Linked DNA regions of Lytechinus pictus. The protein of the gene in region 3 interacts with the protein of the main gene of each other region in a pairwise test. Links are inferred from orthologs where the notes say so. Each region holds a gene or a part of one and is shown on either strand. Other genes may lie near its edges.

What was found.
Region 1: the proteins of cell cycle checkpoint protein RAD1-like (region 3) and T-complex protein 1 subunit alpha-like interact in a two-hybrid assay, tested with the Caenorhabditis elegans proteins (2 studies listed by BioGRID). The link is inferred for Lytechinus pictus from reciprocal best matches to the Caenorhabditis elegans genes mrt-2 and cct-1.
Region 2: the proteins of cell cycle checkpoint protein RAD1-like (region 3) and calreticulin-like interact in a two-hybrid assay, tested with the Caenorhabditis elegans proteins (2 studies listed by BioGRID). The link is inferred for Lytechinus pictus from reciprocal best matches to the Caenorhabditis elegans genes mrt-2 and crt-1.
Region 4: the proteins of cell cycle checkpoint protein RAD1-like (region 3) and 3-hydroxyanthranilate 3,4-dioxygenase-like interact in a two-hybrid assay, tested with the Caenorhabditis elegans proteins (2 studies listed by BioGRID). The link is inferred for Lytechinus pictus from reciprocal best matches to the Caenorhabditis elegans genes mrt-2 and haao-1.

Annotation. Positions count from the first base shown.
Region 1 is NC_087249.1:18,797,224-18,805,465, forward strand, and holds the start of T-complex protein 1 subunit alpha-like, read right to left. Parts: upstream 3,242-8,242; 5' UTR 3,010-3,241; coding exon 2,940-3,009; intron 1-2,939. Other genes in the region: uncharacterized protein LOC135154109, read left to right, coding at 6,734-6,863, 7,894-8,066. UniProt on the Caenorhabditis elegans protein: Molecular chaperone; assists the folding of proteins upon ATP hydrolysis. Known to play a role, in vitro, in the folding of actin and tubulin.
Region 2 is NC_087255.1:31,562,484-31,570,021, reverse strand, and holds the start of calreticulin-like, read right to left. Parts: upstream 3,354-7,538; 5' UTR 3,179-3,353; coding exon 3,094-3,178; intron 1,563-3,093; coding exon 1,458-1,562; intron 1,063-1,457; coding exon 856-1,062; intron 1-855. UniProt on the Caenorhabditis elegans protein: Molecular calcium-binding chaperone promoting folding, oligomeric assembly and quality control in the endoplasmic reticulum (ER) via the calreticulin/calnexin cycle.
Region 3 is NC_087246.1:3,922,294-3,930,703, forward strand, and holds the start of cell cycle checkpoint protein RAD1-like, read right to left. Parts: upstream 3,119-8,410; 5' UTR 3,012-3,118; coding exon 2,892-3,011; intron 1-2,891. UniProt on the Caenorhabditis elegans protein: May be a component of the 9-1-1 cell-cycle checkpoint response complex that plays a major role in DNA repair. Promotes DNA double strand break-induced cell cycle arrest and apoptosis, thereby playing a role in genome stability.
Region 4 is NC_087251.1:11,570,963-11,579,495, reverse strand, and holds the start of 3-hydroxyanthranilate 3,4-dioxygenase-like, read right to left. Parts: upstream 3,134-8,533; 5' UTR 2,896-3,133; intron 1-2,895. UniProt on the Caenorhabditis elegans protein: Catalyzes the oxidative ring opening of 3-hydroxyanthranilate to 2-amino-3-carboxymuconate semialdehyde, which spontaneously cyclizes to quinolinate.

The DNA.
Region 1 (8,242 bases), on a different chromosome or scaffold from region 3:
ATGAAATCAATATTGTAGAAATGTCGGAAATGAAGTTGTACCCCATGTACACAATTTAGGGCTAGATCTTTTAGAGGGAAAGTAGAAATCTCGGGGGGCGAAAGTTTCAGGTTTTGGGACGGTATGTGTAGCTGTATGGGAAGCAATTCCAGGCTTCATGGGGAGTAAGCCTACGTATAGTAGACTGATTTTTACTCTCCAGGAGCCTCCAGGCTACATGTATGTACAAGGAGAACATTTTTTTTAATGTTAAAAAACTCGAAGCAGATGCAGGCCTCTCAATTAACTTTAATTTTTGGAAGTCAGCCGGGTACCCTGGACTGAACTTTAGGTGGTCAAATGGCAGTTTAGGTGGTCATCACATGCATATTGTATCATGACAAATTGTAAAGTGTATCAACTCTGTATGTGTAAGTTTGCTGCGAAACACTACATTACTGGTGGAACCTTTCTGTGGATTAAAAAGGACAAACTCAAGCCTTTGTTTCAAAGGAGATTTAAAAAATTACTCATGATCCTTTTCACACCTTTGTTTACTTGACACTTGTTCATTTTTAGACTTAAAGTTAGAGGTACGTTTTAAAATGAACAAGTGTCAATGAAATTTCCTGAAATAAAAGCATGATCATGGTTATGATAAATTTATTGTCAAAACATCACATCAAGTTAACAGTCGTTGCCACGGAAAAGTTGAAGTGCACTCACTCCATAAAGTGAATAAAGTGTGATAAAATATTATCAAACCAAGACTTGTTGTCATGATTTGGTCCGTCACATATGTAAACTATTTTTTTCCTTTTTTTACCCCCAATACTAAATGTACTTGGATGAGGCAAAACATAAACAAGTGATCATGATTGTCGATGTCCATTTCCCAACATCACAAAATGTGTCCTCAATCACCAAATTATACACAACAAGCTCACCACACGATGAATTTGATACTATAATGAAAGGACTTAACTTTTATTTCAAGTTCAATAGGCCGATCAATGAAAAAAAAAAAACTTAAATCAGCCGATGAATATCATGAATTGTAAAATACTTGAATTAGCCAATAAATATTTATGGGCTAATGCAAGTATTTTACAATTCACGATATTCATCGGCCAATTGAATTTTTTTTTTTTTTTAATTGGCACTGCTCATATCGTCGCCCTCTCTTATACGCGTCTTGTAACTAGGCTACGAACAAAGACGGAAATATGGCGTCAAGATCATCGGTGAGTATCTGCTCATCTTCTTACATGATTTTTCTTAATATTTGTATAATTATTCTTGAGAAAAAAAACGTTATGAGTGCCTAATGGGGGGAAATGAACTTCTTTTCCATTTACGAAATTGTGTGATAAGCAAGTTAAACAAATCAAGTATTTTGGAGCAACATTGTTGTCTCCAAATACTCTCCTTCGTGTGGGCCTATGCTCATGATGCTTTGCCATGCCAGGCTTCATAGGAGTAAGCCTACGTATAGTTAATAGTAGATCATAGATGACTTTTACTCCCCAGAAGCCTCCCTGGGCCTGTTGCATGACGAGATGAGCGATACGTAAGAATGTCCTAGGACCATTCTTCCGAGATAGGAAGATTGGCGACAAATCAGCGCTTTCCATTTCACGAAGGCAATTTTGTCTTTCAAGTCCACGACATCGTTTGATATCGATAGTATCGGAAAAATATTTAGTCTTCATCGTCACCTGAACCTTTTATTTCGGAATGACGACTTTTCATAAAATCATATATTTCAATAAAAGGGGATCAAATAATGTTTTATTTATTACTGATTGTAGAATTGATCTATGGAGCGTACTTTATGAGGTAAAAAGATAAATTTAAAAACTTTCAAGATTCACAAACATAACTGGATAAAATCGAAATTTTCATTATGTCCCTTATTTAGAACATGGTGACCTTTTAGAGACACCTTTCATTGATATTTCAACGAAAGAGACCCTTGTCTGACATAAAAATTGAGTTAACTAAGTAATTTCGACATTTTATTAGTTCAATATACTGATTTTTTATTGAATACATATATATAATGATGATTTTGCAAATTACGCGTTAATATATTATCTGTTGAGGTAGAAATAGGGTTTGAATGGAGTAAACAAAATCAAGTGTCTGATTGTATGAGACTAAAATGAAAAATATGAGAGGCTGCCTGGAAAAAAAAACGCGTTTTAAAACACACCGTTTAAAACGCGCCAACCCTGCTTGCCGTAAACGCATTTTCTCTTAATGCCGACAGTGGCGGGCGGTGTGCAAAGAAGATCATGCCTACGTAGGACATGTCTGGAGGTGTCTTTCCAAGGACCATTCTTCGTATCGCCCAAATCGGCTTCGTGAAACTTTGTGAAACAGTTGAGCGATATCTCGTTCTTACGTAGAATGGTTCTACGAAAGACCCTTTCATGCAACAGGCCCCCTGCTAAGCCCGGGCACTATTAGTATTACCTGACTTTTAGGGTGCCCGACGGAGCTTTAACGTTAGGCGGTCAATGGCCCCCAGACCGCGCCGCCACCAATTTCGAGCCCTGCCGATGGCTGCCAGCTGTCTAAGTTTTACTAAGTATAGTCTACCATTTTTTTTTTCAATCTGAAAATGAGTGCCCGAGCATGCCGAGGTTTCATCCAACTCCAAGAAAATCCTATTTCTTTCAAATCTTTACATGCTTTATGATCAATTTGGTACACTGACTTACTCATAATAATTTAAGGAACTCTTTATTATCTGAAAGATTTTGTGAAATTAAAAGAAATTCATGTTAAATATGACCTCAAATTGTTAGGCCTAACGAAATAACGTTAGGTCATGTAAGTAATGTGCGCAGACTTTTTGGCACCACCATTCATACAAAATTACAATTTCTTACAAAATGTCAATCTTTTCGTCTCGACTCGTCTTGATACTCACTGATTAATTACATAAAACTCACCATTTTGTGTCCTCACTGTATCTCCCGATGTCCTCTCCCCACTGACAGTCAACTGTTTTAGGGTAGACATGATATAAGCTTTATATTACCATTAATTAAACGACGAAAAAATTACTGTACTTCGGCAGTAGATCCAACGTTACCGGGTTCGTTTCCATGCACAATTTCGATTAGATGGGATCGATCTGCTGTACAATTTCCCATAGAGAAAATTATGCTCAAGCGATCGCGAGCATGCTTCTGTATTAATAATTGGTCGTTGATGGCGGTTTATAGCACATGAGCAACGTACTATAAATGATACTGATATCAAAGAAGTGCTCTTTCAAAAGCGTATTACTAGGTCAGCGTAAAATGGTGATTAATTTACCCTTTTTATGACTTGCCAGTCATCATCGTCATAAGATTATTTGATTAATACTATATGAGAAATATTTCAGGTGTTTTATTAACTTAATTTATGATAATTATCAAGTTAAAGCCGAGAGTGCCGAACTCATTTGAACCTCTTCAGTACTACATGGGAAACAGCTAGACTTTTGTATCTTTGAATGATCAGTCTTTGTAGACCTACTAGAATTTTCTATAATACTGTAATGATTGAGAAGAACTGTGAGTCAGTGTGAAAAGTTTTTAAAAAAATACATAAATTTGTGTTTTGAATTCAAAAGTAGGATTTTGTTACTGAGGTGGCAAGTTAATTCTTTGTTAAATCCTTAAAATATAAGAATAAATTTATTTTTACTTGTTTATTTTACAATTATGGTTATTATTTCATTATCATTATTATTGTTGTTATTATTATTATTATTATTATTATTGTTGTTGTTATTATCATCTTCATCATTATTATCATCATCATTTCATACACATGACACAACCTTTCTCTCTTGTATTTCTTCACACTCCCCTTAATTATTATTTTTTCTTTCTTTTTCGGTATCGCGTTGTCAATGGGGGGGGGGGTGTCTACTTCGGCCCCAACCCGGATCCACCTATGAAAACTACATTAACTCATTTAATTTCTCTCTTAAACAAGATATTGTTCCAGGTACAGGAATAATTTTATTCGGACACCAAGGGAAATAATTTAGGCGTATTAATTTCTACTTAAAAATTGTTGTGTATCTTGTTACACAAATATTACCTTGTAGGGGGCATATAAGCAACCTTTTCCCGCAGTTGGTGAAAGAACTTATAAAAGTTAATCAGGAAATATGAGTTTGTGGCTCCCGTTAGCGTGATACACATGGATCCTGAAAGTGCTTAGAGTCATTACCGGACGGAATGTAAAAAATATTCACCACTCGCGCTATACACTCGCATGTTTTTATTTGTGATATATGTATCATATACATTAGTAACTGCAAGCATTTACAGGTCCCTTTTCAGCTAGGTCAGTATATGAAGAAAAAAAACTTTAGTAAAATACACATCTTGTTCATGAATACAAAACTCCTCAGAATGATTAATTTCGGTCTAAATTCAAGGTAATAACTTGATCAAACGTGACTCTCGATGAATTTTAAATGATTTTTGTCTTCTTTCCACTCTCAATCCCCCCCCCCCCCCCTCTGCTTTTCATTCTCTTCTACCCTTTACATGTATGTTTGTACTGGGTTTGTCTTGGTACCGGTGCAAGACGCAATTCATTTTTATTTACTGAATATTTACTGAATTTGTTATCCGCTTTTATTAATTGATCAAATCTTATGTTATTAAGGGAGCTGTCTTGGCAAGACCTTTATGGTTTTTTACAGCTATACCTAATTTCAATACTTTTTCTATTCAATATGTATGTACATACCATTGAACTACTTTATTTTATCTTGAATTGCATTTTTTATCCAACAGTGTTGTTAAATGTTTTTAATATTGGAATTGAATAAAGTTGAACTGAACTGAATAATCAACAGTTTGAGCTCGCGCTTCGCGCATGCAATTATGTAGGCATTATGATGAGATATATTATGAGCTTAGGTCTACTTAAAACTTCCATCCTCATATGCCCCTAAAAATCAATAACAAAATTATTTTTTAATAGCTGCCGATCTTGGAAAATGTGGATTGCCTAAAAATTCCGTCTGGCCACCATTTGACAAAAATTGAACCAGCCCCTGCACATATTTTGTTATCTTCATGTATTCCTTTACGTATATTTCAATATTCTTTGTATCTAACTTTTTGAGAGGTCCACATTCTACAAGCTTTGCTTTTCAGTGGACCCCTCCATTCTTCTCATGATATATAATTATATTGATATAATTATATTTAATTATATTGATTATATTGATTTAAACTTGACATGCACGTTAATTTATATTTGAATCAATTATTGAATATGTATATCATTTATTCAATGTTGAATTTTGTTCATGCTTTTATTTAAATTGAATCAATTTATCTTGTACTTATTTGTATTATGTTGGAGAATGAAAAATAAATTGAATTGAATTGAATTGAATTATGCATGGAGCTAACAAACTCCAAGGTTTATGTATTCTATTTTTTAAAGTTCTCGTTAAGTGATAAAAAATATCTTTCGTAAGGAGCTAGGTTTTCCTGCAGTCACTTTTTTATTTAACAAACATAATTTAGTTCGTAATCATCGCCAGAATATATACGGTACCACATAGCGAGTTTTACAACTTAAAATTTCCCAAGTCTTCCAAACAATCAAACAGCTATTTAAAATGGTTTTGCTCAACTTATAGGCCACTAGTATACGAAACACAAAACTACTTCAGACACAAACTTATTTTTATCTCTTTGCACTTGGCATAGTTTGCACCCAAATGCACATTTTGACATAATAAGAAAGTACCATTTTGTGTGTCCGCAGTATAACTGACCGTGGGCAGATGGGACGTTTGGGAGAATGCCGTAAGTGATTATAGGCCTAGCCCTTTTGCATGTTTATACCTCGCCATGGAGGGTTGTTATGTACATTGTTACCAGGGTTCCGAACAAAATCATAAAGTACCAATTCAAAATTCGTTCCGACGGGCATGTACCCCCATATTTCAGTATCCATAAAAAAGGATAGGACATATTCATGGTGGCCGTAATTCAGTTGGACGATTTTGTGTGTGTGGGGGTGAGTGAGCGTGTGTGTGTGAGTGTGTGTGTCCCCCGGCCACCATACCAACCCCTCCACCGTCCACGGCTCCCTTTCCATCACCGTGGAAGGCGCCAAAATATCTTGGCGATATATAATAGTCATTATTCATGTTATTAGTCATTATTATGGTGAACTATAAAATTTTTTTCAAATGGTTGTTTTTATTTGCTTATCAACCGATCCGTGTCTTATGGTGAATGCTCATCTCTATATAATTAATCAACCATCCATAACAACAGGGAAGAATAGTGTGACAGCAAATATTGAATAAGTTCACCAGGGGCGGCGCCAGGATGGTTTGTACAAGGAGTAAGACGATCTATAAATGGCGTCATATTTTAACAGACGTAATCATGGTAATATATAGTTACACGGCTCAGACCTCTCATTCTTATCGGCCCCAACCATTTAAAAAGAAATTCTTCTCCTTTTCCTCCCTTTTTTCCCTAGAAAAATACAGGGGCGGTCGTCCCCATGCCTCCACCCTCACGCACGCACACAGGCACCGTGGCGCCACGACCTCTCAATTTCACATGTTTGGATTGAGCGTAACAGACATATCATTTGGGTGAATATATCTGCCCTGCTTAGACATTGCTTTACCATCAACAGCAGAACATCTGTGTTGATAATTGTCTCACTTGAAGAATATATATTTTTTTAATCGTCCACAATGATCCGGAGCACCAATATGTCTCTGGCAATAACTATTTTCCTCATGCTCTTTGCTCATGTAACTGGGAACGATGGCACACCCGATCCTACCAAATATTGCTTACCGCATGAATACAGGTCCACTCAAGGTGAGATAAAACATTGCCTAGCTTTATATATTTCTATGTGTTATAGTATGTTTTGTAACTAGTTCAAAGATAAGTACTTTCTATAATATTTCACATACTAAAAATGTTGATGTCCGATTGATGGAAAGTGAAATCACGTGCAGGGGCCGCGGAACGGTTTTCAAAGTGGAGGGCTGACCATGCTAAAAATCACAATCATATGGTCATTTTCACATTATTGTACACGGTTTTGGAAAAAAGTGGGGGGCTGAAGCCCCCCCCCCCCCCCCAGCCCCCCGGTTCCGCGGCCCCTGACGTGATTGATTGGCCATCAAACACTAAGCGATGTTCTGCTGTTAGCTGATCTCCCAGGTTATTCCACCTTTGATTAAAAAAAGTTATTACCCCGAGAATTGCAACGGACTTTATCCCTATAGGGATGTTTCACAAAGTTTAAGTGCGACTTTATGCAATCAATTGCGAATTTAATTTGTAAATTCAAAAGTGATAGATTGGTTTTAACTAAAACAACTTGATCCAAGAAGCACACTTGGCGTGCTTCTATAGGGCAAACTGCAAAATTGCAATTAATCAAAATACCTGTGCTTGATTGTAAATAGACCTTAGCTTACAATCGATTGTAAGTTTCTTTGTGAAACACTACCTGGGGTAAGCCGAAGCCCAAAATGAAAGTATACTACTCGTTCTACACGGTGGACTATATTTTATCTAAAATATAGCTAATTCCGATGAGGAATATAATTTATAAAGCAAGCTGCTGATCACTTGGATTCATCAGGGAATGTGGCGAGTATCACTTTCTCGGCGATATAATGTATAGCTGTCACTTTTCCTCTGCTTCGCTACGAAATATATTGTTTTAATATGATAACCATCTTCATTTTGGCAAAACATCGGAATTTTCTGTGGGGGGGGTGGTGTAATAACAAGTACATCTGAGGAATGAAAAATAATAACACGTAGTCGATGTACATTCCCTACTCCCTGCGGATTATTCCTTACTCGACTTATTTGATTTTTTTTTCCTCAGTTGGTGTTGAAGACATCATGATGGGAGGGAAGCCTGTGGGGGGCAAGCATCGTATCTTCTCTGCTGTGGACTTTGTCCATGATAAGTTCTACACCAACAAAACACTAACGACTCTCGATGCAAGTGGACAACCGAGAGTGGACGAAAGGCAAGATATCATCGACAGAGCAAATGTAGGTTCAGGGTATATTTTCTCTACGAAAGCCCACCTGACACTTTTTCGTTCTGGACCCGCCATTCGAATTGGAAATAACTAAATTATTGTGATTCATAAACAATACTATAAAAGCGGGGAAAACATGGATTTTCTGAGTAGTAATTCTGGGACTGTGTTTCCGAAATCATGGTG
Region 2 (7,538 bases), on a different chromosome or scaffold from region 3:
GATGCTTGACAAGGATAACCACGCATGCTAACAGATGGTAAGGATGCAGTAATGTTCTCTTATAACTCACTGCACATTAATGAGAACATCTTTGAGGAAAGTCACATTTGTTTCATTTATCTATGCAGTAAAAACAAATTGTGGTTTGAAACATAGTATTATGTGAAGAGTAGGTGCATTGTTCTAAACATTAATTAAGGAATTTTGTGTACTGCTCCATCCTTGAAATGCCCAGTAATTATTTTAGCAGCTGGGGAGTCAAGACATAGTAAAATTTCTGAATTCAACATTATTACCAACCAACTTCAACCAAACAATCTAGAAAATGAACATCATTGAGAATATACATGTGTAGCAGAAGAGGAAATGAGAGATAACCAAGGCCTAACCAACCTCCATCATTTCCACAACACTAACTGGGAATTAAATAATGGAATCCATGAGGAAGAATGAATTGTTCAGAAATAAATGACATTGCTTCTTTTGTCAGTTACCTAATATTTTTCTACAATTTGGTTTGACGCATTGCTTTTACGTTATTTCTCTCTGCGTGTTCCTCATGAACACAAGATTCAAGATTTTAAAAAAAAATTATGGGAAATGGTAAGAATGCTCTGTAGATTTTTTTTCAAAGAATCACAGAAAACATGAAAATATTAGATAACACAGCACAGTCTGATAAAAGCGAAGTCAGATTTCGCTTCCAAGTATGATTCCTGAAAAGTGGAGTTTCCTTCAACTGCACATCAAATTGATAACTGTAATCATCATAGCATACATGTATTTATTGTATTTTTTTTGTTTTTAATAAAAGTGGAGAAAAAAATAAAATGAATCGAAGAGAAATGTCCTTACCAAACATGATGTTGTAGGGAGAATCACCGTGCATATCTTTCTGTTCCAAGTCCGATGCAAAGAGTTTGACGTATCCACCACCACAATCAATCTTCTGCTCGTGCTTTACAGTGAACTGAATGACAAGATCCTTGCCCTCATTGCTGAACTCGTTCTCAAACTTTGCAGAGAGGCCATAGAACTTGGCATCCTGGCTAGTTTGGATACCTGTAAAGTTGAAGTCAAATCAAACAATACAGCATAGGATAAGATTCTTTACTTTTTGAGTGTAAAGTGATCAGGAAATTAGTTTAAAAGGAGGGGAAATATATTTTATAACAGATCTACTTTGTGTAAAATAAATAGATAGGCATGGATGGCAGCATCATATTTAGAAATCTGGAACTAGACACAAATACGTAAAATCAATATCTGACTGGTCCCAGCTAATTCAGTTCCTTCTTGTTACATTTTGTACACTCTGGCTTTTTTAAGGCCTCCCAGACCCTACCTACATTGCATGTTGCTTTCATTAAAATCTATACAATAGAACTGAAGATGTGTCAAGTACATTTTAGTTAAGAAAAGCCGATCTGAAAAAAAGATCAAGACGAAAGTCTTACCCTTATCTTTCTCAGCATCACCGTAGAATTTTCCCGCAGTCCACTTGAACTTGCCAGCATCACTGCCTTTGCTTGTGGATTCAACCCAACGAGACTCCCAATCTTCTGGAAGGTAAGAAACAAAAAAATTGTTTTGCAACTTGCATCAACTAGCAGTCCATGACTAAGCAGTTGGGAGTATAAAATGATCATTTGAAACATAGTATAGTAAGAAAGCACTGTCATCTTGTGAATATTTTTCACCGTATTGCGCAATGGCGTATGCAATGATGAACACTGCTTGCCACTGGCAACAAGAAAAGAGCAAAAACTCGCATCATGCCCAATTTGTAAACACTATTCTCTTACTAATGATAGGAGAACAACAGCAGTTACTGTAGTCTAGCATTTGATCACGGTGTGACTCAATTTCAATATTGTTGTTATAAATCAATATGAAAAGATAAGATTTAAGACCAATGCATTCACAACATATAGATTCCCTATTATACCAATATATTGGACTGAGTGATCTGCCCATTGAAACAGTGCAACTGTTTTCCATGATTAAAGCCAAGATGGTGGCAGAACCATTAAAAAATTTTCCTTGCAGTTCTGAAGTAAAACAAAACTTTTGGTTGAATTGTTAGGATTACAGAAGGTCCAGAATTCTGCCGCATGACTCGTGAAGCGTTCAGAGCTATTTGAGCATATCACTCCAGTTCTCAAGGAATTATACTGGCTGCCTGTTAGGCAAAAACTAAAATACAAAGATCTACTCTTGGTTTTATTAAGCTTCTAACAAACCACATGCCAGTGTATCAATCTTCTGGAGGTGAAGAGATAATGAAGACCTTGTCTTCAGGGAATGTTCACCAACTAAAGAAGTTTGAGTGAAGAGGTCCTTGGGCGACAGAACTGTTTATGTTGCAACCCCTCATTTATGGAATTCACTTCCAGTGAAAATCAAATCTTGCAAGTCACCAGAAGTCAGAACTCTCTTACAACAAATTAATGACTTTTTAATACCTTATGAAGTAAGCGTTTGCTTAACTCATACTGTTGTGGACTTGCTTGTTACTTTGACTTACAACTTGGTTACAGATAACTGATTGTGTAATTTTTCTTGTCAATTTGTTCAATTTCTATGTAGGGGATCTGGAAATTAGGGGATCAAATTTGCGATGCCCAGTTACGTGGTTACAAAATTACGCAACATTATGTAAGTGCATGTCAGACCCAAAATTGCTCAAAAACGTGAATTCATGTACAAATCCAATGCAAATTGTGTACTTAGCCAAAATTCATAAATGTATCACTTTTTCGACTTTTACTGATTATTTAAACTTAATTTTGTCTTGTTTATGATAAAAATTAGGTCTGCAGCAATTTCCATCGAAAAAAAAATTAAAAAAAATTGAAAAACAAAGAAAGACGTGTATAGTCAAAAGTTCATTAAACCCTACTTCAATCATCATTTAACATAGCCATATGATAGATCATTCATCATGATCATCATTCAACAACTTGAACAAGCACCAGTTTGGTTGACCGGGCCAGATCGGGGAGCAAGGAGTGGGATGGGCACCTACCGGTTCCGTAGGCGATAGCCGAACATGCAGGACCTGGCCCCAGGGGCAGGCCAGTAAGAACTTACCGTCGTCGAATCGTTCCTCAAAATATGTATCTGCATTCGTGTATGCAGCAAGCATCAAGCAAAAACATGCCAAAATTATCCTCATCTTGAAGCTATAACTTTAAACAAGTATGGAATACGTGTGCCACTGGGAAAGTACAGACAAAATCTGCACTATTTGATGGTGATTTGCAACCCTACGAGATGTTGTGGTGGTAGACGTACACGTGAAGTCTGCAGCCAAATGTCGAGCTGTGATTGGTCAACTAAGAAGGAGGGTCAAGTATTGGCCAATCACAGCGGACCACGCGGCGACGAACTTCGTGACCCAGATGCGGAAGTTACGAAGTCGTTTCTTCAATCCAATGAAATCGCTACAGCAAAAAATCATTGAGAAAGATGCTGCGTACATGTGGCAAACTTATGAATATAATTTGACAAGATTACTAGTATAGTATCTGCCCTTGTTTTCTTAGAGCAATATATTTGTTAACACTATATTCTACCATAATTATCGTAGTTTCCTTTGTTTTAATATTAATATTAAACATGTATGATAGCACATATTTTTCGGTATAGAGGGGTCTAAATAATGTCATGTTTTATGTAACGTTATTTGTTATGGACTCAAAAATTCGCTGTACTCTGGAGTTTGTTTGTTTTTGTTTTTAGGAGGAGCTTTTTTCAAGAATTTTCTGATTTTTTTTTATTCCTCCTAGTATATATGGAGGGAGTGGATGCCTCGCGGGATGCCTCGAAGCCAGTCTCAGCGAGATATACGCCCTTCTTTTGACCTTTGGACATATTGATTATAGGTGATGAATTTCATCATCTATTATGATATGCCCGTTTTTCAGTAAGGAATGAAGCCAAGAAAACTGATTCACAGATCAGTTGAATAAGCTATTTACTATAGAGAAAAATTGCCTTCTGAAAAAATGCCCGATTTGTGATTATGCTTCACTTCGCATGCACACAAACCCATGCATGCAAGCAGAAGGGATGCATATTTGGACAAAACAACAACTTTAGGAGTGCTGTTACCCGAAGACATGGGTGTCGATCCCATGGGGATAGAGGGTTATATAATAAAAATTATTATAATAATGATAATGATAATAATAGGCCTAATAATAAAATAACAATAGTATCATGATGATTGCTGCAGGGACTTGGGAACGATTTTTTCAGTGGGGGTGCTGAAATCTCTCCTCAAAGGTGAGGGGGGGGCAGACACAATTGAGTTTTCCATAATTACACACACATATATACATATATATATATATATATATATATATATATGTATATATATACATAAATATGACAGTCACTTCTTAGCTTTCTTCTTATAAAAGAACATAAATATATAATTAGACAATTTGAGCGCGACGCGCGAGCTATTTTTTGTGGAAATTTCATGTATTTTGTCCTGAAAATTGAACATTTTGAGCAATGTTTGTGGTCCAAGATGCGTATGTAACAAATAATCATTGTGAGCGCGATCAGCGCGAACAGATATTTTTTATATACGCTCTGGCCTGATCGAAAGGGACGTGTTATGGACTGTTTTGCAGTTACCCATGAAGACGCGTACATATATCAACAATCAAATAATGCGAGCGCGAAGTGCGAGCTTGAAAATTTGACATTCTGACCTAAATACTGGACATTCTAAGCACGTTTTGTAAATACGAACAGGTGATAGGTATATAACTATACAATTGATGCGAGCGCGAAGCGCGAGCGGAAACAAAATTGAGATTTCAGCCAAAAAAAACCGAGAGATTTGAAGCACTTTTCTAATCATAATGAGGATAGGTATAAAACTATACAATTGATGCGAGCGCGAAGCGCAAGCGGAAATAAAAAATTTGGGGGTGCTTCACCCCCAGCACCCCCACTTCGAAAAAGAAAACAGAAAAAGACTGAAATTTGATTTTTATTGTCTGACTTGCAATTTGTGTATACAATACACGGGCGGTCGGGCGCGCGCTCACTTGATTCGACATAAAACCTGGAAGTTTCAAGTCCAACCACCCCCATGTCCCTCCCTGCTATTGAAGAGTGTGTATGGTTATCACGTATTGCGCGCGACCACGTCTGTATCGGAGTGCTGCCCCGCTGGAGCTTGATTGAGTCGCGTTATAAGAGGGATGTTATTGGAATATGTGAAAGACTATATGTAAATGATTTGCGATTGTCGGATGTGATAATTATGTAGATTAAAACATATTTAAAAAAATACAGGGGGGAACCCGGTTTCGTGGGGGTGCTGCCTATGGAAAATAATACACGCAGGTGACGCAGCACCCCATGCACCCCCGCTTCCCAGGTCCCTGGATGGTTGGCACTTTACGCATGGTGATCATTGATGGTCGTTTTTTTTTTTTCTTCATTATTTTATGTTTACTGCTACGTATAAATTAAACCATTCCTTACGGAAACTAGATAAGTTGAGAAAGAACCAAATTCCAGGAGAAATCGAAAAAAAATGGCATTCTCTTTTTACTCCTCCCCGAAAGCGCATGGAATGTGCCCCTTTTAATTTTAACACCCGTTTGAATGTCCGACTTATTTTTGTTTTAAGTTTTCTTTCTTCGGGTTCATAATGTAAAATAAATGGAGTACATACAAAAGTAATGAGAATTTAAATTTAAAGGGAATTAAAGGGAAATGAAAACCGATACGAGTCATCAAAATGGTTAATTTTCTGGCAATTTTATCCAACTAAAATTAACTTCAGCTCACGCTTCGCGCTCGTCGAAGCTAACATAGCCTACTAAAAAAACACCATCGGTCTGATTAAGGACTAACCCCCCCCCCCCTGATGCACTGAGACGTGGGGCTTATAGAGCCTTGTACCCACTGACCAGTAGCGTACCGTGACTCGGAGGAGACAAAGCATTGGGGGGGGCAAAGCATTGTTCACAGACAATGCACTGCCCCCCCAATGCTTTGTCTCCTGCGGTTCACGGTACGCTACTGCCACTGACCAACCAAGAAAGAATAGAAAATGAAAAAAAAGTCCCATATAGTATAAACCTGTATGTCAAAATCTATCACAGATTTCTTTTGTATATATAAAAGTCAAAATTGTTCCTCTCTCACTCACTCACTCGCAGCTTTTTGGGAATAAATTTTACCTTTTATGCCATTTCTGGAACCCGTCAAATTTTGGGGCCATGGCCAAAAAAGTTTCACAACCAAGAAAGAAGGAGAAAATACTTAAAGATGGGAAAATAAAAGGGTGAATGACACATCTATCACAAAATTTGATTTTGTATCCAAAAGGTCAACATTTTTGCTCGTAGACAGGCTTTTAAAAAAATCTGCCCTTTTAATCATTACGCCATGTCTGGTCCCCAAAAATATTAGACGCCTAAAGCCAAAGACAGTTAAGACACCCCCCTCTTAAACTAAAAGGGGAAAAATCCCTTATAGAGTCCTGTGATAAAAAAACAATATTTATGTCAGTCCTTCCCAACTTGAACACCAATCGACACCCATAGCCCCTGGCAGGTTGATTAAATATCCTGTACTTTTGACTTTTTAAAGGCATAATTACAGTTTACTATATTATTATTGCTTATTCAGAAAGTTTATGTAAAAAAAAGCAAGTTTGGACATTTGAAGAAAAAAAATGCTATTTTCAAAAAAATTATTGCATTTTTTAATTGAATTGATTTTTTTATTGTTTGTATATTATGTACATGTTATTGTGAATAAAGATCAAGAGGATAAAAGAAAAAAGGGCATTATTATTATTATAGTCATGTAACTATAATAATCCCAATTATTGTCCCAATGTACATTTTTCTATGCTTTGTATGTTCAATGTTGTCACGTATTCATTGCAAATATCACTATACTCTCATACCCATAGAATATGTCTTTATGGAGTTTTATCTTATATCTTACCATATTCATTGAAATGATCCCCGTTGTTCATCATCATCATCATCATCATCATTATCATCATCATCATCATCATCAAGATTATATTACATGTATGAAGAGTGGAAAAATTGACAATATCCATGATATTGGTGATGATGATAATGGTGGTGGTGGTGGTGCATGGTGGCGGTGCATGATGATGATGGTTGTAGAGTGGTGTTGGTGGTTATGATAGTGGTGATGCTGGGTGGATGTGGTGGTGGTGGCGGCGATGGTGGTGATGAAGATGATGATTGAATTGAATTGCATTGAATTTGATTTTTTAAATACCAAATCTCACTGTCAGGTACAATTACTTGGAACATCACATATGAACAAAACATTTGGTAATTGGAGATAACATATTAATATCAAGATGCTAATCGAGGTTAGCCCCAAATAATGTCATTATCATAGTTCAAGTAATAATTTTAACTAAATCACAACATTGTACATCAAATTTAGTACGAATCCTACTTTTTACTGATAATATACAATTTCGATCATTTTAGTGAACATATTTACGCAAT
Region 3 (8,410 bases):
ACAACTTCAAAATTATGCAAACACTGAATTAAAAAAGGTTTCTACTTGGTTCAAAGCAAATAAACTTTTTCTTAACACTGATAAGACCAAATACATGTTTTTTCTGTACTAATCACAGTTATCGATCTCAGTTAAATTTTTCAATAAAACTAGACAATGATGCAATAGACAGGGTAAATACTATAAACTTTTTAGGCGTACAGATAGATGACAAGCTCTCTTGGGTTAACCATATAGATAACATCCATGGAAAAGTTAGTATGTGCATTGGTATGTTATCTAAATTACATAATATGCTTCCACTTAAAGGTCAAGTCCACCTCGGAAAAATGTTGATTTGAATCAATAGACAAAAATCAAACAAGCACAATGCTGAAAATTTCATCAAAATCGGATGTAAAATAAGAAAGTTATGACATTTCAAAGTTTCGCTTATTTTTCACAAAATAGTTATATGAACGAGTCAGTTACATCCAAATGAGAGAGTTGATGATGTCACTGACTCACTACATGTATTTCTTGTTTTTTATTGTTTGAATTATACAATATTTCAATTTTTACGAATTTGACAATTAGGACCTCCTTGCCCTGAACCACAAAATGTTAAAATAATGGAATTCCACGTGTTCAGGGAGAAATGAAACTTCAATTCACATGACAGCGACGAGAAAATCAAAATATTTCATATAATGAAATACAAAAGAAATAGTGAGTGATGTCATCAGTTCCCTCATTTGCATACCGACCGAGATGTGCATATAACTGTTTTGTGAAATGAAGCAAAACTTTAAAATTTCAAAACTTTCTTATTTTACATCCGATTTTGATGAAATTTTCAGTGTTATGCTTGTTGGATTTTTTTTAAATTCAAATCAAGTATTTGTTGGGGTGGACTTGTCCTTTAAAACCCTCTTTGTATAATGCCATTGTCTTGCCCAATTTGGATTATTGCAGTCTTGTCTGGGGAGGAGCCAGCTCATGTCATTTAAGCAGATTGATTGTACTTCAAAAGAAAGCAATTCGTCTATGTTCTAACACGCATTATCTTGCCCATACTCCACCTCTATTTAAAAAATTCAACACTGCCAATTTGACTGATACTATAAAAATAAAGGCAGCACTCTTTATGTTTCGATATATGAATAACATGTTACCAGCTATATTAAATGAATATTTTCTTACAGTTGATAAAAACATTGTTAATACAAGACAGAGAAAGAATATATTTGTGCCATATTCACACTTAAAACTACTACAGACGAACTCTATTAAACACAAAGGGGCTCAATTTTGGAATAGTCTTGACCCACTACTTAAAAGAATGACCACCGTTACCTCATTTAAAGCTAAAATTAAACAGCCTCTTCTTGCCACTTACAAGTGATTCCTTTAAATTGAACCAAAACTAAACAAACAGTTATATGATATATTTTGTTTTGTCATGTATTGTAAATATTGTAACTTGTTTCATGTATTATTTCAATTGCTATTTCCTATGAATTTTATTCCTACTGTAATTTATTTGCTGTATTTGTGTCACTGTTACATGTATTTATCTGTCATAGATCCCCCTGCTTTTCAAGCCTCTGGCTTTCCTAGGGTGTTTGATCCTCACATTTTACAATGTATATATCTACTCATGTGATTTTTACCTAATAAATAAATTGAATTGAATCTATAAATTGTTCTTCAAAACGGCATTTTGTAACATAGCTAATCGAAGGTACGTTATAACGAAGCGGTTCAAGGGTCAGACCTGTGGGCCAGTCAAATATATTGCTGTACACACGCGTGAACAAAAAAACGTGTTTAAGGTGTATTTTTCAGTTTTGGACGAGGGCCGCGCGTGCACTCGTTTGAGGGTATCAAAAACACAGATTTTCAAGAAAAAGGGTGGTTTTGAAAGACTGGTCAATGGTCAATCGCGGGGTCAAATGTTTTTTCCCCAAAACTTTTTTTTTTAAGACTAGCCAAATGTGTTTAGGGTATGTTTTTTTCCCAAGCTTTTTCCCCGTGGTCATATTTTGGCGACAACTTGTTTAGGGGGTTATTTTGCACACAGAGAAAAAGTCGTTTAGGGGGTGTTTGGAAATTCCTTGGTCACGCGTGTGTATGGCAAGTTCCCCCAAGTCTGCGCAGTCCCCCTTGTCTGCGCACACGCGTATCTGCACGATTCCAGTAAAAGAAGATATGCAACGAGCACGAACTTTACACATGCAATACATAGACAGGTATTCATTAAAAAATCTGACTCAAAATGGTGGAAAAATAATGAATTTAGGCCTTTTTTTTTATTAGGGCATTTTATGTGACGGTCTCAAAATGCAGCCTTTCTCATCAAAATCCCCGAATCGTGTGCAAAGTGAATGAGTGCGCAGACATGGGGTAATATTTTTTTGCAATCTGAAAATGACTGACCAAGGTTTTTCTCAAGAAAATCCTATATTTTCTTTCATTTTTTAATGAGAAATTTGGTACACTTACTCTTGATAATATAAGGAACATTATTAACTGAAAGATTTTGTAAAATAAGAAGAAATTCATGTTAAATCTTAACTCAAAGACTTGGGGCCCACCATCATTCAACAATATATTTAACTGCCCCCCCCCCCCCCCCCCCCCCGGACCTTCTTAAAAGATGGATTTCCTAGGCTAGGGAAATCCATCTTTGTTTACAACTACAAGTGTCTCTTTACATATATGACAGGCGGTTCAAGGCTCAAAGATGAAGAAGTATATGTCAAAATGTTAAAAAATATCATCATGGTCCATGATGATATTTTTTAACATTTTGACATATGGAGTCCTCAACTTAGGCTACCTCCCCCAAGTTAATCTACAGTCCCACCTATTCGATTCTGGGCAGTCTCTGGCCACTAGACAGTAATTACCTCTCGATCTTTGAAGTGAATAGCTTTCAGAACCATGGCCACATTCCTTGCATTATCTACTCTCAATGATAGCACATGCTGCCCGTCTTCTTCACTTTGTTGGGTTGATATTAAGGACATTGCCAATCATATGCTGGAAGTATTAAGTGCAGGCCGAATCAATACTGTAAGTCTGTTATCTTTTGCAAAAATCAAGTTTACCGCGGGTCTGCTGCCCTCTTGTGCTTATATTGCATGATTTTTTTTTCACCGATTCAGAGAGCTCAGCTCCGAGTCCGCTGCCGATACCAAAAAAAATATTATTTTACTTTATCTAAGACTATTTTTATATTTATATAAAGTTGCCAAAGCAAACAAGCAAAAATAAATAAGTGAATAAATAATTACACCTATGACTGCATGACACTTACCAAATCATCAATGTCGTTGAATTAATTTTGGTTAGGATAGGTCTGCAGATTCAATTTCACTGAGTTGGACATATTTTCTACGTCGCATATCAATCACACCTGTAATATGATCAAATTTTCAGGATAGGCAGTTAACTTCCCCCCCCCCCCAAAAAAAATCCTTTTAGTAAGTTTTATTTCCACTTTTATTGAAGCAATAAATTGATTTTATTTCTTAACATATGCCATAAACATATTGTCCCTAAGCATATTCTTTCAGCACAGGGCCATCAACCCCATCAACCAGTCAGATAAACAGTAGACGTGTTGATATTGAACGTTCATGCCAAATCGCTTGTTTTCCCCCTTTTTTTCTCTCTGGAATGGCATGGGCCTTACCAAAGTTGCCTATTATTTCAAACAACCTTCTATTTTAGACTCGGTTTTAAGACCCTATAACTACCGAACTACTGAGTGAGTCAGAATAAAATTTTATACCTTTAAAAGTCCTTTATCGTAAACACATAGGCCCTATATATGCCAGGAAAGAGTATTTCTTCCTAAATATTTTGAAACGTTTTTATGTGATACATGCTTACACCTGGATAGACGGTCAGGAAGTATTTTGACGTGGGGTAAAATTTGATCTGTGGCAAAGTGAAAGCAATGAATGAATATAAAGTGTCAAGCTATAATCATATAAGAGATAAGAAAAAAATAGTTTGAAATTATCTTTTTCCCCCTTTTCACTGTTTAATTTTAACAAACACTTTTGGCATCTCTCTCTATACTTATGTCATCTTATTATTTTGCAAAAAGTTTACTTAACTCGTGCACGATTATCACATCAGATTCTGGATTCATTCATTTCATTCATGCTATACCTCGGCACAAATCAAATTTCACATCACAGCGAAGAAAATTATCCCAACATAATCATTTACCGCATAAAAGAAATCAAATTTTCAGAGGGAAGATCTGGGAGGGGGCGGGCAGTCAAATGTGTTGCTGTACACATGCGTGACCAAATTATTTTCAAACACCTCCTATAACAAGTTTTTCTTGGTGGGCATGGGACCCTAAACTTTATCCTGATCTTATTTAATGTTTATGAACATCTATTTTTTCCCTCAATGCAGAGGTCAGAGGGTAGTCCGTACGTAGCTGTAGAAAAAGAAAACAAAAAAAATTGTTGTTTAGTATCGACATAACGATGATTAGACCAAATGGTAATTAGACCAGGGGCCTGCAATATAAAAGAAAAACACAATCAATCTCAAACATGATTGACATCAATCATAAATCTATGGTAAACCATGTACTAAATTCTAAGAGTTACAATTTGATTGTATCTCTTCATATAACAGGCACCTAAGGGATATTAGACCAAATGACAATTAAACCAAGGACTTATTAGACTAAATGATGGTAGACCAAATGAGGTTAAACTGGGCAATGGATCAAAATCAATGTGTACACCACATCGGTATAAGACAAATTTGATTTTAAACCATTTGATGGTTTGACAAAATGGCAATTAGACCAAATGATTAACACCAAATGGTTATTAGACGAGATTCCATGTAGGCAATATCTAAAAACAAAATGATAACACCAAAGACCCCCACCCATCAATGCCAATAAAGGATGAACAAAAAAATGGAATTTTATATGAAAGTGAAATTTTATTAGGAATGTTCACATTGATTATTTTACATTGAAATAAAAGTAAAAGCCTTCAATAAACTATTTTAAAAATAACAATTGCAATTCAGTAGCTCAGAAACCACTAATTCCCATTGTGTAAATACATTTACACACAAACAGTGCTATAAATTTTGAATACTTATTGTATTCAATACAATTACATAGAACATGACAATTAAAAACATAGTGTAAAAAACAAAATCAACAGAAGTCACCATATTCATATTTATATACTATACTGACATCCCAAAATATACAAAGACAATCTCAATATGAACCTCACATAAATTATGAATGAAATGTATTGACTCGCCTGGAGCTTTCGATTTCTGAGTGTTTTCTTTTTTATTCCTAAGACTTTTGATTCATGTCCACTTGACTGAATTCCAACAGACTGAATGCAATAAGTACATGTAAGCACATATTCATGTCTGCTCCAGTGTCATGCCGTTACAGTATCATATCTTGTTTGATTGAATTGCTGTTTAGCTTTGGTTGGTGTATAATCTCTGATACTCTTGAGAAAGGAAGTAATCAGAGCCCGGGGGGGGGGGGGGGGGGGGGGGGCCACTTACATTGACGAGTGGATACCATGCGCGACCAAAAAAAACACGTAAAAAGGATGTCTTTTTTAATGATAGGGCACGTTAAGTACGTAACGTGATAAGGGTGTCAAAAACACAAAAATAATGAAAAAAGGGTATCTATTTCGCTAGGAAAGCTACGTGTTTAGGGTCAAATTTGCGGGGATGCTAAAAATATTTGAATGTTTTATAAAGGATGTCTTTTGTGCCCCAACATTACGTGTTTAGAGTCTGATTTGCACGAGGTGTGGAAGGTGGGGCCGTACTAAACCAAATGGTGTGTAAAGGTAAACCGATGACCGACGGACCCGTGACATAATAAAATATCGCTGTACTTTTTTAGGGGTTCATTTCAGGGAATACTTGCCAAGAGTATCGTTTTGTTTCCAATGCTTGTTAAGGGTAGGGTTTCAGACGCCAATACTCGTTAAGGGGTGCATTTTCAGAATATGGAAAATACGTGTTTAGGGTGCTTTTCGAGACCCCATGGTCGCGCATTGTATCCACTCGTCAATGGAAGTGGCCCCCCCGGGAATCAGAGGGAAATTGGTTAAAAAAAATCAGCTTTACTGGTCTTCGGTCTCGTTGACCTCTGGTCAATAGGTTAGACCACTGATGATCCATTGGTTAAATGCTAAAACATACATATATAAATGAACATAGGGTGCAGTGATGAAAAGCCTATCATCATAGCTGCTAGCAGCTGAACGAACAAGATGTGGAACTCGGGATAGGTACAGCATTTCCAGTAATGATATAAAAATTGCATTAAAAATACTCGAAAGTAGCAACACAAACTATAACACCCGTACAAAACTCATTTGAGGACAATTAACATGGCACAATGTTGAAATAAATGGTTATCATTATTCCTTTTGAAGCTGTGCTCCAAGAATTTGAAATCATTCTACAGATCACCTCTGTCTTCAGCATTTTGCATACATGAAAAAGGTGAGCCATAAACTACGCTTACACATAACATTAATAATCACAAAATAAATGTTATGTCATATCGTAAAATGTGCCATCCACATAACTATGGATAAAATTACCCTGGTTTAAGCACTAGTGTCCTTATATAGTGATACAAATTTTTATCAATATTCTGAAACATATCCAGAATAATTTGTTATAATAAAGATAACAATGCTAATAGCTATATTTATCAGGAAATATGCAAAGGTCAGCAGCTTGCAATGGTCTACTAGTACTATAAGGGTAGAATTGAATATCAGGAAGTGAGATGAAATGTATGTGTTGCTACTAGACCTGGTTCAGAACCAATTTTCAAACTGATTCAGCTAGTTCAGGATTTTAATAGAGCAAATATGAGCTCTCAAAGCGATCCAGAACATGAACATTTACCCAGAGATCATACACAAGAAATGCTTTTATATTGAAGGGGGAGATTAACATGTACAGTTCTGAATTACAAGAGTACCTAAGCAATGTGTTTCCATAGCAACATAGCTAAAGGTGTACCTCGTAAGGGTTCCATCTGGTCACTCTAGGAAAGTGACTAAACAAAGTATGTATTAAGTATGCCTTACAAGAGGTAATTAAAGCATTGACATAGCAACACATTTGATTCATGGCATAATCCATAAAATACATTATAGACCTATTTACTAATATTCTATTACACTAAGGTTTTCATTGTCAACTCTGAAGATTGCCCATCATAGCAACAAGTAATGTTTGCACACTGGATTCCTAGTATTCTGTTTTTCTGAAGGAAACACTTTAATATCAAGAAATGTTTTGAACCGAAAGTTTTGAGAGATGACTCATTTGTTGTGAGGTAAAATGATTTGGAACTGCATATATTCTGTTTTCATTGAAAGGACAAGTCAACTTATTTCAGGAATAGTGTATTGTACCCGAGAGGGTAGGAAATAGATCTTATTTTCAGGGGCCATTTTTTTCCACATTGGGGGCAATTTGCAGAATTTTGGGGGCTATTTCTTTCATTTGAATGGCTTTTTTAAGGGTAAAAAGTAATTGTGCAGTAAAAGCAAATGATTATTCTTCTGCCATTTAGAATAATGATTTTTCAAATAGTCTTAAATATTGTTTGGAACAGATATTGAGGCGACTCTAGAAAGAATAGTCGCCCCAAAGCATGCATTTGATTTGGGCTGTCATGAGGGCGAAAACCCCCTCGCCCTCATATTTCCTATGCTAAAATTTGTACCCCTTTATATTATGGTGTAAAGGGTAGACAAAGAAAAATCATTTGTAGCTGCTGTGTATTTATAATAATATTTTTCCTGGTACAGGTATTGTCTAAACTTCCTACCTATCAGTTTCCACATGTTTATGATTTGCTTGTTATGTTTCTGATTCTTGCCCAACCTCTTTGGTTTTGATTTCCTGTTGTGCATTGCAGCAGTAGCAATGTGTAGATATGGTATCTTTTGTGTTGATTGAATAGAAAAATCACGAACAAAGAAAAATGACTTAAACTTTATCCAAAACTAGGTATATTCAGAAGATCTGAATGCAATACTAGTATGACTTCAGCTCATCCAATGCAGTAGAATTTAAATGAAAGCGTTTTTGTTATCCTTTCATATTCTCTGATGACAGATTTACAAGCGCAAAATCAAATATTAATTATGAGTGGATACTTTCCTTTAGTAGTAAGAAATAAATATTCTAATTAATTGAGACAAATATTCTTATTTCAAATACATTCTATTATCCAATCATTTTTTTTCCATTTACATTACCACTAAATGAACTTCTATCTTCTTTTAACCATTAATCATAAATCTTATAATCTGTTTTAATTAAAAAGGATAATGCCAGAAAACTACTGTAGGCTTCTACATGTACA
Region 4 (8,533 bases), on a different chromosome or scaffold from region 3:
CTCAACCCTTTTTGTCATACTCTCTGACAGTGAAATATGTAAAGAAGACATTGAAAATGATATATTTACAAGTGCCCACAGTAAAATGTACCGTGATGTGATCCATTCACAAGAATGAGAGTTTACATTTATGAGTCTTAATTTTCAATACCCATACTAAGACAAATTACCTCTATGTAATTACATGTGTAGATGAAGAAGAATATAAAATATATCATTCAAACTTGTATATATTAATTATTCCATCTGAATAAAGTGGAAAAACTAGTCTGTATTGTTTTGAAGTTTGAAATTTGGTACATTAGCACCTTCTTTCATATATCATGATGGTATACATCATACCCACAGATTTAACCAAGATATGCACATTGAGTGAAATAACTATAGGCCTATGCATGTTACAGTAATTTCCCAACAATGAAATGTCTATTTGTAGCCTTAAAAATAATGAACTATCTCAAACTTTCGTATGATACGTGTACATGTATTCATATCACATAGATCTACTGAGTATTACATCAATCCCATGTGTACAATGCATGCACACAGCTGATAACACGTGCAAAACGTAAACAACGTTGCACTGTTGTTCGGCGCGGCGAGATTGACAAGTAACTCATGCATATTTATGAAGCACTCGTCCGTTGACCTTTGACCTCTGACGTCACCGCAGAGCAACTGGTCTAGACGATTTTTCCTCGGAGTACAGGTTCTCGGTTTTGCGCGCACACTCGGCTGGGCGTACGCACGGAATAGAACATATTATATCGTGGTGCAAATAGATTCGTTTAAAATCGTCTAGAACTAGACTATATGAATTCTGAAAGAAGAGCTACCGCGACAGAACTTCGTTTTTTTTTAGGTTCCAGTCTGTGCCTCGATGTCAGGATACTGCCCACTTGTTCACTGCAACCATCCTGCCTGTGGGGAATCTACAGGTAGGACTAGGGTTAGACAGGAATAACCGTCGTTTCCGGGGATTTATTCAACAATTTCTGACATTTTACTGTAGTCCCCATTCACCGACGGTAGTGTGTTAGTGCGAGCCTGCATTTTAATTTTTTTTAGATTCTAAATGACATTATATTATCTTGAACGAAGGCCCACTATTTTCGTTAGACTTTAATCTTTCTTTTGATACTATGTAAATTCAACAAAAATGTCGAAAATATACGTTACCGATGAGTTATTCCCCCGTTATTCCTTTTTTTTAAATTTTCTGCCGGAAAGGAAAAAATGGCAGCCGTGCATTGTTGTCCTTTACGTTCAACGAGTTGTGCTTTTATCAAGGCTTTCCGATTAAATTTTCTATATCCTGGCCAATCAATGCGATCAAGGCACATCTACAAGCGCAAAGCAGCGGCACAAATCTCGATATATAGCGACTGGTAAATACGTCTGTAAGGATGATGACGTCGTCCAAGATGGCAACTTACGTTGACCAACGAAAGGATCGAAGATGACGATGTTTCGATCATCATTTTAAAGGAATTAGCGGTAACTGCGGTCTAAGGTACAATATTTCTGAATTTTAAACATTTTTTCGTAAATATGGATGTGATTTCTTTTTCATAATGTGACATTTTATGTACAAAAAACGATCGGAATATCGGGTTTTCGCCGAATGCTAGAGTAAGTTAGAACTAACGTTACTGCTAATACGTTGTCTGTACGTACGGGCCTCCAAGCTCTTCAGTCTATGTATTGGCGATTGAGCCAACGCAGTTCAGCGGAACAACCAAAATACAGAGACTAAAGCTTTTGGTCTAGACAGACTATGGTATGCCAATGTTGTACAGAGCACACGCTTTAAAAAATCATTAAAATATCACTTTTGTAACCAAAATTACTAATTTTCATACAGTTGCAATTTATTTTTCATTAGTAACTTGGGAATAATTTTTGTATTCACCAGAGCGCTCAAAAACTTGATTTTTGGGCATATTTTTGTGTACGCCCTCTATTGGTGGAAAGTAATATGGCAAGAAAATTGTCATTTTTTTATCTCTATTTTTAATTAAGAAAATAATAATTTAAAGAATCAAATTTACTTAAGAGCCAAGTTGTATGACGAATAGGTGTAATGGAAACTGTCAGTGTAAAAAAAATGAAGCATTTGTCCCAAAGAAAAAGTGAAAATAAGCCAAACATTGCCACCCTTTTTTGCCACACAAAAGTCACAAGATTATAATATAAATATACTATACTATAGGCCCTAACATATAACTGAGAACAAGTCAAGGTTATATCTAACCCAGGGATCTCCCGCCCGCTGTGCGGGCGGGAGCCCAGGGGCTTACCGTGTATTTGACCATACTCACGGGACTAGCGTGATTTATGGTCTAAATATTTCTCCAAGTCCAAATGAATTGTGAAAACAGAAATTATGCACTTACTACGATTATATGGATGAAGGTCTAACGAGTGGCAGTTTCCTGACATCGAGGCACAGACTGGAACCTCAAAAAAACGAAAAGTTCTCTCCTTCTACCCCAGTCTAAATCGGCAATTTTTGTTATGAATCATATCAATTATCATAACAAAATGGCCGATCGAGACTGGGGTCGGGACTGGGGTAGAGGAGAGAACTTTAAGTTTTCGTTTTTTTGAGGTTCCAGTCTGTGCCCAGATGTCAGGAAACTGCCACTCGTTAGACCTTCATCCATATAATCGTGGTTATTGTATACTTTCTGTTTTCACAATTCATTTGGAGAAATATTTAGACCATAAATCACCCTAGTCCGGTGACTATGCCTATGGTCAAATACACGGTAAGCTCCTGGGCTCCCGCCCGCTGCGCGGGCGGGAGCTCCCTGGGTTTAATAACCGTACCGTACCGGTAGCCGGTAGGGGCTTGCCCTCATTTTTGCAGACCGATTGAGCCTATTCACTTACATCATCTTGTTGCACACAGGTGGGAGAAAAAACTTCTTATTCTCTTCGATCCATTTGTCTATTTCTATGATCTCAATTTGATTCACAGACATCGTTATTATTTATCTTTCCTTTCCAGCTCAATAAGTAAGAGAGAACACGGTCGTGATCATGTATCTGTGTGATGCATAGAGATGTATACTAACTACGCTAGAGTGCGGAGTCGCCATAGGCGCGCGTACTTAACGTCTGTGATTGTGTGGAGCGTGGCGGCCATTGCTCGATAGGTATAGATTCGCAAAAGTACCCGGATGTACCCATAGCTCGTGCGTTGTAACGCTGTGAAAAGGGGTGCCGTCTCCGGCCTTTATCTTGAAGAAAAGAATACAACCTCATAAAAATCGAAAATATGAATGACAAATTGCATCTCAATACACTATTAGAGTGATTACATGGGGATTATGCTATTAATTTGGCATTTTAAAAACCTGATTTCTCGGGATGAAATTCTAAATAATTTGCATTTACCTGTCCGTTTATAGGCCTGTAATAGATAACAATGTTGATATACTATCATATAAACAATCATATAAAAATAAAAACATACAGCGGACATTAATAGAAAGATTGACAATTAATTCAAAAGACTGCAGTGAATTAGCCCTTCTCTGGATTTCCCTACCTTTAACTGCATCGTCCTCCTTCCATCCTTCCCACATATACGTCCTTTGATTCTATGTTTATGTTGGATATAATTTTGTAATTTCTATATAGGCCTACATGATATGTAACTTGCTTCAATTTGTATGAAATATAGGCCTATCATTTTTATATATTAAGTTGTACAATAATTCTGTATAAGTTAGTGTTTTGATCTACATGCGCTATTAAAGGGCATCTCATTATTGTTCTTGGTGAGCCTCCCGTTACACCATCAATGTTGAAATTCGTGTTATTTGGTGAACGTGCTGATTTTGTTCTTATAGGAACATAATAAATTCCCCAAAATCTGCAGGCCTATATGGCCCGAAAATAAAATATTGATTTAAAATGTCGAGAATATAGCCTAATTTGTTCAAACTTTTCAAAAATGACAGTTTTAATTCCCTTCACTTTAAGTTAGATTTGTTTTAATTCGCTTTTTAGGGGCCGTGTGTGCAATTAAAATAACAAACACACCTAAGCAAATTCGCTTTAACATACTGATCAAAATAAAATACAGGGGGCGCGACCGGACCCCTCCCTGAAATGAAAATGAACATTACACATAATAAATGATTGTGATTTTATACACCCCATCACTTTCAAAATCATTCCGCGACGCCGTAACATAATATAATAATTTTGTTCATCCATGGAAATCTTATTTAAAAAAAAACTGATCGAATAACCAAACTCAGGTCCATAGGCCAGCAAATGACATTAAAGGAAGAAAACTAGAAAATCAAATTCAGTTATACTTTTAAAATGAAAAACAAAACTGGATATTCAAAACGCGTGTTTATCTGTTTATATGTTAGGCCGGTGCCAGTGCTTACAAATATTTGCCATAAAGTTCATTTATTCAAGCGACACAGACACAGTTAATTAACACAATTTCAAGGCAGGTATCAAATTTGAGATTAAATTAGGATCTTTAATATCTTATTCCAAGTATTGTCACTTTTGCAATATTATTGTTTCATAATTATGTTTGGTTTTAGTACTCACAATTTTGCAACCGTTTTCATAATTATGATAAGTTTGCATTGATGTCTTTCATGATATTAGTTTTATACACTCTTGCAGTAGTAATAATATTCTTTATAGTATAATACAAATTATATATCATAATCCCGCCCCTTTTCTTCTCTCCTTCTCCCCCTTCTTCCTCTCCTTATTATTCTATCCTTGATTTGTTCACATGATATTGGTCCAATCATTATAGGATCAGAAACAACGGCGATAAACAAAATATTTCAGCCAGTTTGCCGATCAGCATATTTTCAGCCGGGGAGAATCAAGTCTATACTTTCCAGAAAATCAAAGTAAAATTGTTTTGCGCATTGTGATTTGTTTACTCTCCGAAGTTTTAAAATGTTTGCAAGGCAATAACACTGTACATAAACATCCAACCCCCCATTAGGCCTCCTGTACATTGCAAAATTGTACGACTGCATGCGCGCATTTGATATGCAAATTTTGCTGTCAACAAACTTTTCTATACATTGATCGCAAGTAAGAAAGTATACTTTTATATACATATTTATAAATATGATGGGATGGTTGCCAGCAAAGGAAATCTAAATCATCAATTTTTAACTGAATCAATGCGTAAATCATTTCCAAATATCAATAAAAAGTCATTTTATGATTCGCGAGTTTTTGTGATGTTGGTTTACATCAGCGTGTAAGACATGGGGAAAAGGGATCGAGTTATTATAGGCCCTATTGTGTAGATATATATATGGAAAATGAATTATAACAATTATCTAAAGTGAAGAAATAAATTATCAGCAATCAGCATAATAGTAATTAGGAAACTATGAACTATAAAAATACAATCGTGGTTTTTTTTTCGATACAGCGTCTCAGATGCATCAGACACTGTGATATGGCCTATGAATTTTCTTAGGTTAATGTACATCAAATCATATTAAAACACATTAAATTTATATATCAGGACCTAGGCCTAAATGTTATTTTTGATATTCATCTCTTCCAAATCATTAGAAAATAGAAGTCATATTAATGTATCGAAATTTTACCTAAGCAAAAACAATTGGGACTTTAAATCGTTTGCCTGTATTATAGCTGTATCGGCCTATATTATGCGCTATAGATAGGCCTATATAGGCCTTTTGACCTCAGTTTTGCTAGATTTTTGTTGTATTTGAACTTTAATCCAGTGCAATATTTACAATTTTGCTTTTCCATATGCTTTCGTGCTCATATGTCATCAATTTGTCATGTTCTGTGCTCATCCGTGTACATGCCCCATAGGTACTGTACGCGCATGGCAGGCTGCGAATACCTATCGAGCAATGGCGGACGGTCTCCACGTAATCACAGCGATTTGACGAAGTACGCCCTCTAGCGTTACTAGTATACATCTCTATGGTGTGATGCGACAAATTGATCTAGCTTAGCTAGCGATATCGATAGCGTACCCTGTCTAGCTAGCTAGCGACCAACAGCGAGATCGAACGGAGGAAGTTAACGAATGAAAAAAAAAAGTCTATCGTGATTTGAAAATAGCAAATCATAAATGGTTTCATTTATACTCATAGTATATCCTAGACCAAAAGCTTCGGTCTCTGTTATGTTGGTCGTTCCGCTAAACTCCGTTGGCTCCACTCAGAGAAATGAAAAAAAATAAAATGTTAAAAAACTCCTCGAAACAGACGGCTGCCAGCTGTCTAAGTATAAACATGAGGTTGATATTGGGAAGAGTTTCTTTTAAAATGGCAATTACATTTAGTAGTGACTTTCTTGTTTTATTGATTTGGATTAAGATATAGCCTGTATCTATGCACTTTTCACCGAAACCCAAAACAATGGCACTATACAGTATTACTTAGTACCAGGATATTATGATAAGGGCAACAACCTATAAACATTTATGTATTTTTCTTGACTAATAGCTAGGGAACTTGATTCTTGGAGAAATCCATGAAGATGTCCATGAAAATATTCACATGTACGATCAGGGCAGGACCGTCGCTAAAAAGGGGGTGAGGACCGGGGGCGACACCCCCCCCCCCCACTAATTTAATAATAATGTGGCTTATAAAGCACCAAATCCACTCTGTAGAGTGCTCAAGGCGCATAAAGAGCTAATATTTAAATAAAAAAGTTTTTAGAAGATTTTTGAAAGCTTCGACAGAGGTACATTTTTTAGTGTCTTCAGGAAGGCTATTCCACAAAAGCAAATGATCTTTCCCCCCAAGTTTTTGAAACTTTTGGAATGACAAGGAAGCCAGAAGTGGATGAGCGCAAAGACCTGCTTGGTCTGTAGTAATTGATAAATGAAAGACTGTGTTGTGCTGATCCAAGAATACTATGAAAAGCAAGCAACAAAATCTTAAAGATAATCCGATTTTTAATAGGGAGCCAGTGCAGCGAATACAAGATGGGATTGATATGAGAGCGTTTACTTGACAAAGTGGCGAGCAGCTGCATTCTGAAGCTTATATAACTGAGCCTGCGGTAAATTAAACAAAAGGACATTACAGAAATCAAGGCATGTACTATCTTTTCGGTCGCGGACTATTTGGATATCGTCGGGAAAAATGAAAAAAAAAGGAGCGACTAAAGGGGAAAAAAGAAGGGAGAAAGAGGAAAGGAAAAGGGAAAAAGAGAAAAAAAAGGGGAAAAGGAAGGAAGGAACGAAGGAAGGAAAGAAAGAAAGAAAGAAAGATTTTTTTCGCATTGTGATCGTGGGGAGCTCGCTGTATAGGCTACCAATACTGATTAGAAAGTCTCGGTTTAAGATCTACATCTCAAAAATTCAGCTCGCGCTTCGCCCTCGCATCATATATTTATTAAAATTTTGCTGAAAATGTTGTTTAAAATTCCCTCAGAATATCAAATAATTTCCGCTCGCGCTTCGCGCTCGCATTAAGATACACAGATTGTTTAATTGAATATGCATATCTTAGATTGTTCTTTATATTAAAAAAACGTGTGAAAAAGTTAAGTTTTCAAGTCAAAACATCAATAGTTCTCAACTCGCCCTTCTGTACCGACAGTGATAAGAATGTCCCGGTTTAAAGTCTAAATATTTAAAAAAATCAGCTCGCGCTTCGCGCTCGCATCATATTTTTAGTGAAAATGTTACCTAAATTTCCCTCAGAATATCGAAAATTTCCACTCGTGCTTCGCGCTCGCATTGAGATACACAGCTTGTTCAATTGCATATGCGGAAGTTAAGTTTGTTCTTATAAAAATTGTGAAAAAGTTCAGTTTTCAGGTCAAAGTATCAAGAGTTGTCATTTCATACTTCGGTACCGACAGGGAACCATTCTCCTTCATGTTGGACAGTGCTTAAAATGTTCCCTTTCGAGATGGTAAATCGGAATTTCAGCTCGCGCTTCGCGCTCGCATTATGTTTATTGAGATACACATCTTGTTCAATTACAGATGCAGAAACTGAGTTTGTTTCAAATTAAATCAACCTGTACAAAAATGGAAAATATTTAGTTTTCAAGTCAAAATATCCCAAAATTTTCAACTTGCGCTTCGCACTGGCATTGTGTTTAATGAGATGCACATGTTGTTCAATTACCGATGCAGAAACCGAGTTTGTTTTGATATAGAATCATGTAAAAACGTTTAGTTTTCAAGTCAAATATAAAAATTTAAAAAATAGCTCGCGCTTCGCGCTCGGATTAATGTTTATTGAGATACACAGCTTGTTCGATTACAGATGCAGAAACTGAGTTTGTTTTAATGTAAAAACATATAAAAATATTTAGTTTTCACGTGAAAATATGCAAAATTTTCAGCTCGCGCTTCGCGTTCGCATCATTCAGTGATACCCTTCCTTTTCATGATTATATATAAAAACTACATGGAATGTCCGATTTCAAATATAAGTTTGATTAAATAACCATCATGTTCATGATTGCAAAAAGTGTTGAAAGTGTCAAATTTTAGGTTGTAAAATAATTTTTTTTAA